Nothobranchius furzeri: one gene and its partner. The protein of the gene in region 2 purifies or fractionates together with the protein of the main gene of each other region. This does not show direct contact. Links are inferred from orthologs where the notes say so. Each region holds a gene or a part of one and is shown on either strand. Other genes may lie near its edges. The genes, in order: ago3a and trinucleotide repeat-containing gene 6A protein.

Region 1 (8,994 bases), on a different chromosome or scaffold from region 2:
ACACGACAGGTCAGTGTGATTTTTGTAAAAGCAAATCATAAAAATTTGGCATGCAACTACTTTCTACACTTTAGCGTAACTGCTGTGGTCTTTGGGTCTTCTCCCCGTTTTCCCTTTGCAGTGGAGAGGGCAGCCATGTTTCCGGCCAGAGTAACGGCCGGGACCCCCAGGCGCTGGCTAAAGCTGTTCAGATTCACCACGACACTCTGAGGACCATGTACTTCGCCTGAGCATCGCTCCCACCACCTCACTTCTACCTGAGCGGGCCTGAAAGCCTGCTCCCGCCTCATCCCCATCCCCATCCCTGACTCCCACCACACACACACCCTCTGTTGGTCCGTCACTCACTCATCTCCTGTAAACACAGCCAGACTCTGCAGCCTCATGCACTCAAAGTTTTAAATATTTTTATTCTCATGTTTTCATTTTTTTTAATTTTTTATCATGATGGTTGATTTTTTATGTTTTTTTATTTTTCAAACATGGACATGGTTATGTAATTGTATTGTACGCTACCTTTACACTCCTATCTAAGTAAGTATGCAATACGGATGGGAGGAAAAATAGATGATCGAAAGGGGAAAAAGAAATTCCTAAAACTTTTTTTAACTGCCACCACAATGCTGCCTCTTGTCCCATCCAAAAGCCGGATGCCGGTGTTCCAACCCTTTAGCTTGGCGATCCGCCAGATGGGTGGTACTGAGCACGCACACTTACATTTATGTTATTTTTTAATGTTTTCATGAACTACATTCATGTTTTGTGATGCTTTTGTAATAATGTTATTTTCTTAAAACGCCTTGATGAGCCTGAGGGATGGTACAGTAGCACTTAGCGTTAGCATGTAGGTGCCACCGGTCCTGCACATAAAGAATTGTAGTCGTTCGAGGCTAGCCCTCTGGTCGTTATTAGCAGACAGGAGCAGGTGTAGCGATCCTAGGTGCTGTGGCACTCTCAGTCCCGATTGGCCAGTCCCTATAGAGAGCTTAGCATAACAGTAGAGGGACCATTTGCATAGAGTGTATCAAATATACTTGCACCCCATGCACCTAAACCAGCATTATTAACCAGCCAAAAGTGATGCCACCCAGTTAAAATAGGAGGCACTTAAATGGGAAGACTTTGTCTGTATTCACTGCTCTTTAAGGATTTTAGGCACTTTTTTTTTTTGTTTACGTATAATTTTACATAAAAATTATGAACTTTTTTTTTCTGCAAGACTTGAACCACACTAGCTTAGAGTTTCACACCCACACTTGAGTTGCACTCAGAAATAAAGCAATAAGCAAGGTCAGCACTGTTGTGCACACTTGGAAACAGGCGAGTTTGTGATCGCCCGAGTGCTGCGAGGCTGAACCTCCATTCAGCCGGCGACCTTCCTTCGCTCGTCCTGCATATTCCTACTTGTATCAGTGGAGATGACGCCACGCGGTGCATTTTTTCACACTTCCGTTCTCAAAACTTCCTTGCATAACTGCACACACCAAACTACGACCGGTCCTGTTTTTACTCGGCGCTCTTCCTGCTGCAGGCGTTTACAACTCATAGCTTGGGTAATGAAAGCACACGTTGATTTGTTTCTTAACATGCAGAGGTAGAACACGCTCATGCAAACTGTTGCTCTTTGGCCTCGCCACCACGTTCTGTCTTTTGCCATTTGTTTTTCATGTTTTGGCACCACATGCATTCAGCATCCCCTGTTCCAATCCCCTAATCTGTGTTAGCCAATCCCTATTGGTGCTCTGTGTGCATGGGCGTCATAGACAGGGGATTGCTCATTGGACAGGGTGGGCCTCTGTTACTACATTTCAATATGCCCTGCCTTCACATCAGCTCACTGTCTGGATCTATGAGAAAAAAAAGCATGTAACTATTATTTTAACTGGACTGGATATTCTGAGCCACCTTCTGTTGGTTTTCTTAGAGGTAGGAGCCTTGTGCTCAACACTGCCTGTCAGTTGTTTTGCCTCTGTTGTGTAACAGTTATTGAAACTGATATATTTTTTGTCATTATTATAAATATTGTGACTATTGTCAGTGTATCCTCAAGAGGGCACTGTGGAGATGGTGTCTAAATTCCACCTCAGGTGCCCTTAAAGCGCCTCAAATCTCATCTGATGGGCAGAAGCCCTTAAAGTCGAGGAAGGATCTGATTAAAAAAAAAGAACACACTAGATCAGATGTTCGATTTTAAAATCATATTTATAAAGTTGCATAATCCGAATGCCTTCGTACACCGGTTTACTGATCCTCCATAGTGTCCAAGGTGATTTGTATATATTAATATATATAATATGTACATGTTCTATATTTTGGCCTGACACATGCTGGGTCTTTCACAGTTGAGGCCAGTGTTTTACTCTGCGTTCTGTACTTAAAGAAGTCGGGGGTACTCCTCTGCACCACTAAAACCAGATGCAGTTCTTCACGTACTGAAGCCACAAAAGCACCTTGCCAAGGGGGACACAAAAATGGTCTCCCTGGAAATGTATCGTGGACAGCGGAGAGTCGAGTCCTCTTCGCACAACCTCACGGTCCGATTAAGCAATATCAAAGCCACTGATCAAGAACAGTCCTCATCATAGCACTTCCCAATAGATATGAATGAAAGGACATGGAAGCATATTACTTAAGTTCTGTGTGTGATAGTGTTGGAACTCTGTCGGGGAGGGTTATTTTTTAATAAAAAAATAAATTGTTTTTTATTACTCCTGCAGGTTCTTTTGACTCGTTTGTTGTTTCATGCTTTATTTTTTATTATTGTGCATTGATTTATACTGTAAAAAGTTTCTGATGCTTCTTTTTTTTTAATTATGAACTGATGTATTCATTAATGCAGAAAAAACTGTGGCTGAAGGCGGAGTGAGTTGTTCTGACGTCTGCTGGCAGAGCCCACCTCTTCCTGTCGGTGTGAGAAAGGCTACTTCACCATATTTAGCTGGCTTGCCGAAGCCCTGCAGAGTTCTGTCAACTAGCCTGAAAATCTTGACACTTCTCGGAGGAAACAACGCGGAGCTGACAGCGTCGTTTCGGCACCGGGATACAACTTACTGACGACGACGTCGACGGAACACGGCGCCTGAGAACGCGGCCTGTTTTTAACAGCTGTTTTTAACGCGATAAAAGTAGCTATCGCGTGTCATTATTCCAACTATCAGCGCGAGCTAGCCAGCTAGCTTGTTACTTTAGCCGCTCCGACGTTCGCCGTCCCGATAAGTATTTATGCCGCTCCTGCTAATGGTCACCTATCGTTAGAGACTCGTTTGGACTCTGTGACCCTCCCTGCTGTGATGATCTCCTGACAGCTCCTCTCGTCCGTTCTAGACACTTTTCAAAGCCTGGCTAGCAAGCTAACCTAGCAGGTTTTCACTGCCACTGTAGCCTTCTCCGTGGCGGTGAAACCCGATTTCTGACGGCGGTGCGAGGAGACGCCGAGAAAAAAAAAACTCTGCTGGTGAAAAGACTCGATTGACAGCACGTTAGGAGGGGGGGGACATAAAAAACGTGGACACCCTTGTCGCTGTGCAGAGACAGGCGCTGTCCTCCCCACGGAGGAGACACCGGAGCTAACAGGAGTAACCAGACGTTTGACACCTGTGATCCGGGAAGTGAACCGGGCAGGGACCTCATGAATGGAAATCGGAACTACAGGTAATTTACTCTGCATCGTTATTTTAAATAAAAACTCTTATGGGTAGAATCGAGATCAGACACGATACCATAATTTAACATTTTAGCTGTTAATGTCTTAAAGTTGTGTCCATCCCGATGGTCCATCCTTGTATTTATAACACTGTAAAAAATGTGTGGTTGTCTGAACTAATTCACCAGTTTTATTTTTAATTAAATTGGTAGGTTATTCAACCTTTTGTTTCCATTAACCTGATTTGGATTAACTGCTTTGAGTAATTAATTGGATCTGCAAACCTTTATTAATCAAAAGTAAACTGTTAAACAACTTTGTATGACAGGGAAACCTTGTTACGGTGAAATGAAAATAATCATGGTTCAAATATTTGAGTCTTTCAATTAAGTCTGGTTGAAATTTTAATTCAAATATGCATTTATAGCCTTTAATTTGATCACAACATCACCAAGTAAGTGTATGCTTATTTATGTCTGATTTTTGATCTTTGTATTCTGATGATTGATTGGTTTTTAAATGTGTCACCAAAGAGATACTCAGTCTAAATGAAATATCCAGAGGAGGTGGTTGTGTTGCATCACCAGGCAGGTGTGGGCATTCTCACACAGAGTCTGAAGATTAACCTGGTATTCCCCTTAATAAAAGACTTCTCCAACAAACCATATCTGTCTTCTAAGAATGTGACAGAAGGTGAACTCCGTTCTTGTAGAAGACCCTGGGTCTCAGCATCATGGCTCTAACTGACCTTGGCGCATTTAGGGCTTGAAACTTTGCGATCTATAGGGTTAAACCCTATTACCTTCTACAAGCTGGATCCTAAATAATATTTTTCAATCTTTCTAAAACATCTAAATCTAATGAGTGTTTTTTTGCAGGTATGATCCCATATAAACTTGCTAGTTCATGTCTAGCTCCAGTGAAAAAAACATATTTAACTGACCAAGAGCAAACCGGTGGTCCCTTTTTTGTTCAGAGTGACAGTTAAACAGTCCAAACCACCTGGCTTGGTCTCCACGGAAGCTTTGTAACGGAAGCTTTCCACTAATGTGACAATAAACTGAATCCTAGGTACTCTTGATTATCCAGTGACACACGATACAGCGGTTGGTTTGTATCCCACTGCCTCCTCGAGGAGATCTCTCTCAGCTGCCCATTCTCTCTAGTGCTGAGCTCTCCTCAAGCTTCCCCGCTTTAACAGCATGTGTGACTGCAAGGTGTTTTCCCAGCAGCTAAACACACAGTAAGGTCAAACAAATACAGAAAAAAATGCATTCAGTCAAATTATTTACATCCTAAAATGTAGCATTGGTCTAAATGTAATGTTATTCTTGTTAAATTAAACATTCTATACAGTCTTGTTGTATGGACACCAAGTAAGGCAGCATTTTGCGTGCACTTCACATAATGTACATAGAATGTTTTTTTTTTGATAAATAAAATTATCTGTCCTTTCCTGTAACATTCTCCAGTAAGGTTTAGTAATTGGATGGATTATTCGACCATCGGGGATTGGCCAAACTCTTTGGCAATAAGCAATTATTTTTAAAGCCTCACAGATGGGACATTGCAAGCGCCCATGTCAAATCCGCATCATTTTTGCAACACTTCTTCTATGTACACATACATATTACACATAATTTAAAAGCCAGGGTTATTTAAATTTCAACGATATGTTTCAAACAAGGATTCAACCATAGGTGTAGAGATAATAAACACATTTGCCTCTTGGAGATTCAAATGAAAGTCGACTGGAATAGAGTAGGGATAGGCAACCCTGGTCCTAGAGAGCTGCAGTCCTGTTTGTTTTCCAACTATCTTTGTTGTTCCTGTTGTTCAGCCAATTAGAAGCTGCAAGTTCATGCATGGCTGGAAAACATGCAGGACTGCAGCTCTCTAAGACCAGGGTTGCCTACCCCTGGAATAGAACCATCTCCAACAGCAATGGTCTTTTTACATCCAGAAGTCCAATTAAAGCACTCCAATAAAATAGTTGGTCTACAACAAGTTTTGTGTTCACAATCCTTTTTTTCCCCCACAACTTGGTTAAGTAAACTCAACATTTTATTTTTTTCGAGTGTATCAAGAGTATAGAAACAGAAGCTTATTGTCATTTTGCACCAGATGATTAAATAAACACAAGTGCTTCACAATCCATCATAATGGACTGCGGAAAACATTCAAAATTTCCCTAAGATGCATCTCATAATCCCCGCTGGCATCCAAACGTTGTCTTCAAACACTTGAGGGACATCTTCCTGACGTAGGTGAAGAGTTACCCACTATCTGCTGGGGCAAAATCGGCAGCTATTGTCTAACTTGTCATAAGTACCCCATTTATTACCATGTGTGTTGCATGAACCAACCTGTTGTTATAGATCATGATCTCTCCACACTCTGTGGAATGACGTCCAGTTAATGTAATTTTATATACAAACCTAAAAAAAGATGTGTTCTAAAGCAAATAAGTGTGAGTGTGTGTATATGTGTGTATATTATATACATGTATGTGTGTATGTGTGTATGTATGTATGTATGTATGTATGTATGTATAATTTTATAATATATATATATTTTTTATGTTATATATATGTAAATATGTGTGTGTGTGTGTGTGTATATATATATATATATATATATATATATATATATATATATATATATATATATATATATATATATATATATATATTTGTGTATATATAAATGTGTGTGTATTTTTCGCTTAGACAGACCTTATGTTTTTAAGGTAGTCCATATTCTGTCTTGTAAATTAAGCAGAATTCGCACTCCATTTTAAGCTATGTATCAGCTGGTTCATAGCCTGCAAGTCCTATCCAGATTGAGCAGTGGTTTCAATGCCAAGACGGGAATGTTGTCCGTTATTCCCAGATTATCTGCTAGCACAATGATTAGGGGTATCTGAGGGTTGGAATGTTCTGTTAAGTCTCCAGAAGCTACGTCAATGTTATGAAAGTGGTGAGGCTACAAGACGACAAAAGGTCCTCTAGTAGACACAGCATGTGCTCTAAAAGTAAATAAATGACATAGCAGGGCTGCATTTAGTGGTTAGTATGGCTGCTTTTTGTTTACATTTTTGAGGTCTGTGCAGAAGGTTGCAATATACGTACACTGTCATCACACACGGATTATTGAAAGTTGAACGTGGCTGACAGATATACAGTTGTGGTCAGAAGTTTACATACACTTGTAAAAAATATAATGGCTCTACCGAGTGTCCCATTATTTTTAAAACTCTGATTTTTCTCTGATAGAGTGATTGGAACAGATACATCTTTGTCACAAAAAACATTCATGAAGTTTGGTTCTTTAATGTCTTTATTATGGGCTAACAGAGAAAAGTGATCACATTTGCTGGGTCACAAATATACATACAGCAACATGAACTAGCAATTTTGGTGACTTAGAAACGTGTCAGTGAACTGAGCTTCATAGCATGGCCTCTTAACTTCTTGTGAGTGATTATGAGTGACTACAGCTGGTGACTTCTCTTAGGCCAGGTAAATAGGGCTCATTGGATACAAACGCCCACAAACGCTTCAATGGGAAAGTCAAAGGAGCTCAGCATGGATCTGAAAAAGCGAATTATTGACTTGAACAAGTCAGGAAAGTCACTTGGGGCCATTTCAAAGCAGCTGCAGGTCCCAAGAGCAACAGTGCAAACAATTGTTTGTAAGTATAAGGTGCATGGCACTGTTTCATCACTGCCAAGATCAGGAAGAAAACGCAAGCTATCACCTGCTGCTGAGAGAAAATTGGTCAGGAGGGTAAAGAGTGAACCAAGAATCACCAAAAAGCAGATCTGCCAAGAATTAGAAGCTGCTGGAACACAGGTGTCATTGTCCACAGTCAAACGTGTTTTGCATCTCCATGGACTGAGAGGCTGCCGTGCAAGAAGGAAGCCCTTGCTCCAAAAGCGGCACCTTAAGGCTCAACTGAAGTTTGCTGCTGATCACATGGACAAAGATAAGACCTACTGGAGGAAAGTTCTGTGGTCAGACGAAACGAAAATCGAGCTTTTTGGCCACAATGCCCAGCAATATGTTTGGAGGAGAAAAGGTGAGGCCTTTAACCCCAAGAACACCATGCCTACAGTCAAGCATGGTGGTGGGAATATTATGCTGTGGGGCTGTTTTGCTGCCAATGGAACTGGTGCTTTACAGAGAGTAAATGGGATAATGAAGAAGGAGGATTACCTTCACATTCTTCAACATAACCTAAAATCATCAGCACGAAGGTTGGGTCTTGGGCGCAGTTGGGTGTTCCAACAGGACAATGACCCCAAACACACATCAAAAGTGGTAAAGGAATGGCTAAATCAGGCTAGAATAAGGGTTTTAGAATGGCCTTCCCAAAGTCCTGACTTAAACCCCATTAAAAACATGTGGACAGTGCTGAAGAAACAAGTCCATGTCAGAAAGCCATCAAATTTAACTGAACTTCACCAATTCTGTCAAGAGGAGTGGTCAAAGATTCAACCAGAAGCTTGCCAGAAGCTTGTGGATGGCTACCAAAAGCACCTAATTGAAGTGAAAATGGCTAAGGGACATGTAACCAAATATTAGCACTGCTGTATGTATATTTGTGACCCAGCAAATGTGATCACTTTTCTCTGTTAACCCATAATAAAGACATTAAAGAACCAAACTTCATGAATGTTTTTTGTGACAAAGAAGTATCTGTTCCAATCACTCTATCAGAGAAAAATCAGAGTTTTAGAAATAACGGGACACTCAGTAGAGCCATTATATTATATTTTTTACAAGTGTATGTAAACTTCTGACCACAACTGTATTGGTCTACCCCAAATTCTGAAACCCTATTGGTTTATGCCATTCTCATATCATTTTATAGAAAATTTGCATTACACTAAGATGCATTAATTTTCAATGAGTGTAAATGCAGGACGGTCTGGAGCTCCCTAGTTGGGATGCTGCCCCCACGACCCAGACCCAGATAAGCGGAGGAAGATGACGACGATGTAAATGCATCATAGTGTGAACCAGATTTGTCAACGAACATTTTTTTATAAAACATTAGTCATCGAGATCTTTAGTAAAATGTGGTGGTGCAGTAGCAATGTTCATGCTATTGTTCCAATGGGATTACTTATTTACTTGCATAGCGTTAACTTTTTTAATTTGAGTAGTTTTGAAACCAGTATTTATTTTTAACCTTTACTCAAGTAAAAAGTTTGAATTGATACTTCTATAGAAGTCATTTTAAACCCTAGTATCTATACTTTGACACTTCTGCTGCTAACCAGCTTTACATTAGGTGTTAAGATTGTGGTTGATTATTCACTTGAGAAAACATTCATGCATTAGTAC
Region 2 (8,994 bases):
AGTGATCTGATTGTTCCATACGTTCCTAACCGAGCACTTTGCTCTCAGACTGCAGGTCTACTGGTGGTTCCCAGAATATCTAAAATTAGGATGGGAGGCAGATCTTTTAGTTATCAGGCTCCTCTCCTGTGGAACCAACTCCCAGCCTTAGTCTGTGAGGCAGACACCTTGTCTACTTTAAAGACTAGGCTTAAAACATTTTTCTTGTATAGGGCTTATGGTTAAAATCTGATGTTAGCCTAGATCTGGACAAGTGGGAGAGTACAGGGAGGTGGAGTGTAGAGTCGGTAAAGACGGCTCTCCCTTGTCCTGCCTCCAACATGCCTCCATCTAAATAGGATAGATTATCCAGAGTTATCTCTGTAGTTATGCTGCTATAGGCTTAGACTGCTAGAGGACACACTGACCACTTTTCACACTCTACTACTTTCTTCTACAATCTGCTCTTTAACTGTATTATTTTCTGCAATTTCAGCTGTTAACTATTTTTTCTCTCTAAGTGTTTTTCTCCCCAGAAGAAGCTACAACGATGCTCTGCTGAGCTGTGGTGGCCTCATGGAGGGGACCATCGTCTAGCACACTGCTGCTAAACACTTAAACATTCTCCCTCTCCTGATAATAACTTTTTGCTTTCCTTGACGTTGGTGTGCTACTACTAGTTTACCCGTTTAACAATAGATTCACTAGGATAAATACAAGAAAGTTTATCTCTCGCCAAATAGAATATTTACTAAGCAATCACGGTGTAACCATGGACACATTGCTTGGTGTGTGTGTGTGTGTGTGTGTGTGTGTGTGTGTGTCTGTGTGTGTGTTCCGTCTTCTCGATCCCCAGTGAGTCGTGGAGGATGGCTGCTTATACTGAGCCAGGATCCTCTGGAGGTTTCTTCCTGTTAAAAGGGAGTTTTCCTCTCCACTGTCGCTGCATGCTTGCTTAGTATGAGGATTGCTGTATAGTCACTGACACTAGTCAGTGACTTGATGCAACTTGCTGGGTTCCTTATATAGGAAACATTTTTCCTGACTGGCTTAATGAACTGACCTGAATTGGAATGTTTATTATGTGAAGTGTCTTGAGATGACTCTTGTCGGGATTTGGCGCTATATAAATACAATTGAATTGAATTGACCAATCACAAGCTTGCGGTCTCTCACTTCTAACAGATGTTTAATATTTTGGGCATGTCTCAATCTGTAAGCCCGTTGGAGAGCCCTTGCGCCAACGTATAATGGCGTTGAATGTCTCAGGATCGACGCAGAAGTATAAATCACACTCAGGTGTTTGAGTGTATTAATAACTTATTTATTTATGAGCCACAGAACTAAAAGGACACAGGCCCATAATAATGGTGTTTTTAGCTTTGCCTTTGTTATTTTTCAGTCACTATCCACTACTTCATGCCTGCACCAGGTCTTCTTATGCACCCTTCAACACACACTTTTTCATGAATTCATTTCAGTCTCACTGACGAGAGGGGAGTACAACACACCACTGGACAAGGTCAAGTCCAGGTTGGATCTTTTCTATGCAGAAAGCAAAAGTAAAGCACTTTGACAGAGCAGTAAATGCAAAGGAGGAGTATTTTTTAAAAGAAGACAATATGTTGTCACCTGTTTGGTTAGGAGAGTGGCTGACGGAATCCCGAATGGGAGCCATGCCTGGAAAAAGAAAGCGGGAGACTGTCAAGGTTCGAAGGGAAGCAGAGATGGAAAACAATGTGAGAAGATGTTAGAAACAGCTGGAATAAATATACAGTAATAAAAAAGGTTTAAAGTCAGAAGAGTTTAGAAAAACAGCTTTAAAGGAAAGCAGGACTAGTATTTTCTGTTACTAAATCTCTAGTTATTTCTTAGATAATATAAGAATTTAAAGACTTCATTGATTGATAATTTCTGAGAATTATGTACCATACCATAGTTTGTAATAAATGACTGACACCCCAATAAAAATATTTTACGACACAAACATTTATTTTAGACTTCTGGTTACGAGTATAAACACAATAGCAGCCATCACAGAGAGATGCACTACTAACTCAAGCTAGGTCTATCAAAGTCAACTAACCGGGAGCCATTATCCTAGTTTATTTGTACATTAGAAAACCGAACTCTCAAATGAAGTTCGCTCCACTCCGAGGCAACATGCGCCCTTTTGTGTCGGTATTCTTCCGGTTAGCAACACCAAAACGGTAAATGGCCTGCATTTGTAAAGCACCTTCTTAGGGTTCTTTCTACCCCCCAGGCGCTTCACAACACAATCAGTCATCTACCCATTCACACGCTGGTGGTGATGAGCTACAATGTAGCCACAGCTGCCCTGAGGTTCAATAATAGACACAAGACTGCCAAACACTGGCGCCACCAGTCTCCGACCACCACCAGCAGAAAAGGTGGGTTTAACCCTCAGGCTTCATTAGGGACATTTTTGTCCATTTGGGCAGTTTTTTGCTTTTCTTTTGGATGCCATTTCACCATTGTTTGTGCATATGGTAGGCCTGAACGATTTTAGGAAAAGACTGAATTGCAATTTTTCTAGCAGAAATTGCGATTTCGGTTCAATTCACGATTTTCTGCAAACAAAGATCCAGCATTAGCCTGCCAAGCCACCCTGTAGATTAGGTGAAAAGATGGTCTAGATTCTAATCTAGTACAACAAATCATTCACATTAATATTTACTATTTATTTAATCATACAATAAAAACAGTTAGCCATTATATTCTCCCATTATCTTTTTTTTTTTTTACATTTTTTTATGTGTTTGTGAAGCAACTTGTGCTTGTAGTTTATATCTAGAGAGGAGCTTTACAAAACATGTTCTATCCAAAAATGCATGGAGGAAATCTGTAAGTAAACATAGATTTTAAATGTATTAAATAAAAAAATGCACACAGTTTTCCCTGCATTACCGCGGCAGGCTGGCTGCACGTTTTTCAAAGTCGTCTGATTTTCCTCACTAAAATGTCAACTCCGTGAGAGACACAAGCATTCTGACACCTTAGCTTGTTTGAGCTAACGTGTGCCATCAGAAACATTCAAACCATTTTTAAAAGATAAGTTGAGCTTTCAAGTCAACTAAAGTGCGCGGCTCCGCACTCGCGCTGATGAAGCATAAACCAAGCTTTAGAAATAAGCCTGAACCTGCTCCGATGTGGGAGGAGTCTCTCTCCCTTACCCCCTACGTCCTCTCTCTCTCTCTCTCTGTCCCAGGCTCACCTTCGGTCCCATTATTATAGGCTCTAGCAGCGCTGTGTGTGGGAACGTAAAACAGGAACAATAACCTGAACATGCAGCTCTGGCAGCTTTGGAGTTGGGCTCTGCTCTGGATGGCACACCCCACTCCCCTCCCCCGCGCTGGATTTTGCCGCCGACATAACACAGGGCGACAACCCCGGATGTAAAAAATAAAAAATAAAAAGTTACAAAACTGATCCGGGATCAGTCAAAACCTCCAAAACCATAGCGTTGACGGTCACATGAGCGTGCTGTTTGAAATCGGAATTTCGGTCCAAAAACGATAGATCGTTCAGCCGTACCATACGGTACAAATCTTTGTTGCAAAACACCTCCCTGGACAAATTTCGAAATTCAATTTGGAATTTTGAAAATAAACCAAGTGAACACTATGAAGAAAAAAACAAAAAACACCATACACTTGAGTCTAGCGGACAAAAACGTCCCATTGACTTCCATTCAAACCACAGTTTAGTATGTTTATGCACCTGGCTGGAGCTCCAGACACGTGCATAAACATACCAATTGTTTTTGCTTTCTACACTTTGAAGTTCAGTAAGAGAGTCAAACTGTGTTTTATCTACTTATCAGAGGTCAGGTTGACCTTTTGACTTCAATACAAACAACAGAAGATCTAAAGAAATGTGTAGACTTTCTCACCTGGGCCACGTATGGAGAAATAACTGAATTTGGTGAAGAACAGTAAAAATCACAAATTTCACTAGTGAAAAATGAAACACTAATATCACAGAAAGCATGATTACTTTTTCCAGATGTTACAGGATGAAAAACTGTGGTTTGAATGGAAGTCAATGGGACATTTTTGTCCGCCAAGATCAATCTGTTGCTACACAAAAACTACGGATGCAAATTTTTTTATTTTTCAGTTATTTCATAACATGACTAAGCCTGATTTATAATAAATGCCCCAGGAAGAAACAGTTGTTTTTGGGGGAAAATAAGTCATTTTTGTGTTTTTTCCTCCATAAATTCCAGAAATGACTGAGTAATCAAACTGGCATTTGAAGTGTTAAAAATGATGGAGGGCTGAAGTAGTTTAACAGAAGGATGAAAAAAAAGCAGAAGAAAAATATTATTGTATACATTTTTATAGCCATTTTTACCAGCGGACGTTTTGTCCTCTAAAGACTCAAGTGTATAGTAAAATAAAGTGAAGCCTGAGGCTTAAGCGTCTTGCCCAAGGACACAACAGCAGCATTGTCTGATGGGAGCCGGGATCTAACCTGCAACCTTCTGATTACCGGTCTACCTCCTGAGCGACTGCTGCCCAAATAGTAAACCAATGCTGGCGGGAGTGAGCCAGACAGAGTTAAAACAGGATATGAACGATGGCTGTGAAGCAATGGACAACGGCGCGGCAGCACAGCTGATACTGTACTGTTTGATGGTGTAACGCATGTTACTTTGTAACAATGGAATTATCAGAAGACTACTTCCACGGTCTCGTGGCATCAGCTCGACTGAGTCATTTACATGCAGATGAAGTTGAGTTTCTACCGCATTATGTGGGTGCTTTAGCCAGACTAATGCGTTTACATGCATAAAAAAAAACTACGTCCCTTTAAGGCAATAGTTTGGTTTTCTGACTATGAAGCAGTGGAGGGTCTGTGCAAGTAACTTTATTGCTTCATCTGATTTCATAAAAACTATGTAGTAGGTCCCTCAGACCTGAGGGTTAAACACCCGCTCACATCTGTAGCCGTTTAAATGCACAGCTGCCTTCAGTCCTTCATAAAGGAGGAGTCAGTTGGGAATGCAAATGCCTGCCCCCCCCCCACCCCCCCACCCCCACTGCTTACCTCTGAGTGCCACTGGTGGCTGCAGCTCCTGGCTGGACAGGAGGGTGTCCCCGGTTTCAGAAGAGAACAGGTGGCCTTTGGTTCCCAGCTCGGCACAGGGGAGGTCAAAGGTCAACACTTAGTGAGCACAGCTTCAAGGGTGTGAGGTGAGGAGGCGGGGCTTGTCAGAGCAGGAGACAGGCTGATTAGCCTCCCTTGGCATCGCTGAAGACTGGTGTTTGTGATTGTTTGTAAATAGGGACGGGGAAGGATGGAGGCGTGGTTATGATTAAGGACCGTCTTGATGTAGTATGCTTCGGCACTGCTGCACAAAAAAATAAAAAAATAAAGGAAAGGAAAGAAGCCATTATTAGTTTATTTTAATACTCTTTCTTTGTAATTTTAGATTCAAAACATCTGTAAAATAATTGTTCACAACGTTAGCCATCACATTCATCAGCTTCCGAAGCAATCCTGAAGTATTTCAAACAGCTGTCACAATCTTGTGCTTTAGAAACAATCCACATGCTCACAGAAAGACGTGATGGATAAAAAGGAGCTAAATGTTCATAAAACACTACGTGGTTTCTCAAAACAAAACATTTAGTTTTCTGACCTTTTTCAGCATAATAAAACAATTCCTACCAGAGTCAATGAATGCTAATAAATTATTATTCAACATGTTGACTACTCACTGGTTAAAGCAAAAGGTTAGATGGCAACTCGGCAAAACAACCGAGGGTAAATGGATCTCTAACTTGCTTTCGATTTCTGCAACAACCCAGACTAGAAACCTGACAAGAATGAGAAGGATGTAGCAGCTTGGTAATCAACATTGGTTTGTTCAATTGTGTGTGGGGAAAATGCCAACAACATTAGGAAAAAAAATCAGTTTAATCAAATTAAAATAAAATGGTTCTAGTATTTCATATTTCCTAGTTCCTAATGCATGAGTTCAGATGCATTAATTCATGCACTTAAACATTAATGTTCTGATTTTAGTGAAAAACTTGTTCTGTAATAGTTCCTTTGCTATTGTGATCAAAAACATTTCATCTCAATTCTGAGGCTGCTCTGTAAATATTTTTCTAATAAACAACACACATAGCAACTTCTGATCAATCTTTATCAGCTTCAGATTTAAAATAATGTATTGATGTAAACCACACCCACTAATTTCCAAATAATAAATAAGAGGTGCATTCATCTGTGTACAGGGTATATACAGCAATCCTTAAGTAAAATTTACTACTTTTTAATACTTTTTTTTACTACCTTCAGAATTTTTTTAAAACCATCACAACACTAAATTGCAAGTGTTAATCAGCGACCTATTTACACATATTTTAACATATATAACATACAAAAAGCATAGACTTAGAGACTCACTGATGTTGACAACGTATTGCGCATATTTATTTTACTTAGAAAATATGCCAGGCACTTCTTTTCAGCGGTTCAGACAGTTGACCACGGGGCCTGAAATGATGCAGAACGACCACTGAATATGACGTCATCATAATGTGACCGGATATGCTAAAGTAGGGTTGCTCAATTATGGCAAAAACAATAATCACGATTATTGTGACTGAAATTGAGATCTCGATTATTTAAGACGATTTTTCAATTTATGTAGATTTTTTTAATTTATTTTTATTCAGTCATAAAACTGCTCAGGGCACAATCAGGGCAAAAATAAACAAGAAACAAGATGATCACTAAAAGAACTCCTGATTCCCAGTATAAAAAGACCAATATACTTATAGCTCATAGTTTATGACCCAAGGGCAATAGACCTTGGTTTAACTCATTTAAGTCTAACCAGTGCAGACCCAAATACCAATATCTTGCAAATACTGACAGCAAGAATTATACAGTGGCATTTATAACAAATACATGCAAATAAATTGATGTTCACAAAATATTGCATAACATTTATTGAGTTGTGTCAAGGAGCTGTAGGAGAGTGCACTAGCACCGTGTCCTCAGAGAGATTAGTTATTATTTATTAGCGTGAGGAACTTATTTCTACCTTATTTATAAACTATTTATTAACAAGTCCATCAGTTAATGTAATAATTGTCCCAACCACAGCTGCACCCCCCACCCCCCAACCCGGTCTCACAGCAATCAGGGGCAAGCTGCACGTGTGTTTAGCGCGCCGCACACGCACACTTAGCCGTTTTTAGTGGCTCAGGAGTCCGCAGGTACGGTGTGTGTCACTCACTCTGGTTACTCCAACAGGGAGCCGGCTCTGAGCTGTTTCTTTAGCGACCGACACATCATTACATCATTCCCTTTCCTAATGTCCTGAAGAACGGTCCGGAGCGCAGGCGGAGTGTTTAGCTAACCTGCAGCAGGAAATGTCGACGATAGTTATCCAGAAAGTAGCTAAGGGTTACCAGAGATGTTTCTGAGGTGTTCGCCAGGTACTTTTAAGATTTAAAAAGTCAAGAAGGGGGTCTGAAAAGCTGTTGGAAATAGCATCAAAGTCGCTAAGTTGGCAACGGAGCGCTTCATTTGTAACTCAGGGCAGCTCAAGTGGGAGGAGCAAATAATCGGCTTGTTTTATTTTTATAATCGTTCAAAACATTTCATTCGGAATATATTTCTATGTCGATGTTCAGAATACGACACCTGATAGTCTGAAAAAAATAATACCTAACTTGGAAAAAATAATACCTCTGAGACCAAATTTAACACTTTTAATGGCCTTAAATTTGACTATTTTTATTTATCACTTTTTAATACTTTTTAAAACCCCGCGGACACCCTGGTGTATCTCCTTTGATCTGCATTAGTGATGTTTTCAGCACCAGAACAATGAAGCAAAGAAAGATTCCTGAGTTTGTTAGTAATTTTATTTATTAGGTGTATCGGACCTGTTCTATTTTTCTCTGAAATGAGATCAAATCAGTGCTTCTATGGGTTGTCTCCTCTCTGCACTAGAAAATTTTACTTTATAATGTTCATCTTGATTTTCTTAAATAAATTAAACCAAAGATATTGGTCAGTAATGCCAAATATGTAAATTTGTGTTTCAGTTGTTTTTATACTGGCTTAAAAATACTTCATTAAGTCTACTAAGCAGGGTAGGGCCAGCCCAGTAATGATCTTGGACCAAAATAAAGGGGGCAGAAATTCAAAGGGGGGCAGAAGGAGATGTTTTTCCAGACGCCAAGAAAAAATAAATGCCAAATCCCCCCTGCAAAGTGTGTCACTGAGAGTTTAAAACAAAAATTATTCTTGTGCAAATATTGGTGTGTTCACCTTTAATACTAGTTATTACAATGCAGCAGTTGCTGGATTGGTGCAGTTCAAAGTGGAGTGCGTCTAATAAAACAACATTAACATAAAGGTGAGACGTGTCAAGTACCTGTTGTGATGGACTTCTACCACATCAAATCTTAGGTCTACATTTGAAAAAGCGATTTAGTTCCAACAATTTTTGTATTTGATGATTTATATATTGCAGCAATAACACTTCTTATTCATAAAAAAGCTGTTGACGGCGTATGGTATGATGTGACACAACACTGTTAGAGATAAAGTTACAGCTAAAAAGGTAGATGAGGACATCCTAATGATCTCCCATCATGGACCAGCCTCATTTGGCCCATTATGCCTTTCAAAAGAAACAGATTGCTATGAGGTGCTGTGTTGGGATTTTATATTCAAAACTGAGTCACTTCTTAACAGCTAGCCCCACCCTGACACATAAGCCACTCTAGAAAAACATTAAGAAACCAACTCATCAATGATTAATCACTACAAACACTACAAGCTTTTCCAGCTTAATATGTGAAACACTAGAAATGGAAAGGAAAAGTGGAGATTGTGATTTTTTCTTACTATTGGACAGACTAGACACAGCAGTAAAACAGTGAGCACTATAAAGACGTTATTTACTTCATGCCTTGGATCTTGACACAACCTTCATGTATGGAAAAACGAGTTCTAATG

Evidence for each region.
Region 1: the proteins of trinucleotide repeat-containing gene 6A protein (region 2) and ago3a purify together in Homo sapiens (affinity purification with mass spectrometry; 7 studies listed by BioGRID and IntAct, with this or other methods). This does not show direct contact. The link is inferred for Nothobranchius furzeri from reciprocal best matches to the Homo sapiens genes TNRC6A and AGO3.

The regions. Positions count from the first base shown.
Region 1 is NC_091745.1:69,169,235-69,178,228, reverse strand, and holds the start of ago3a (protein argonaute-3), read left to right. Parts: upstream 1-3,400; 5' UTR 3,401-3,632; coding exon 3,633-3,651; intron 3,652-8,994. Other genes in the region: ago1 (protein argonaute-1), read left to right, coding at 1-9, 122-230.
Region 2 is NC_091752.1:63,515,070-63,524,063, reverse strand, and holds the start of trinucleotide repeat-containing gene 6A protein, read right to left. Parts: upstream 5,288-8,994; 5' UTR 5,053-5,287; intron 1,660-5,052; 5' UTR 1,658-1,659; coding exon 1,612-1,657; intron 1-1,611.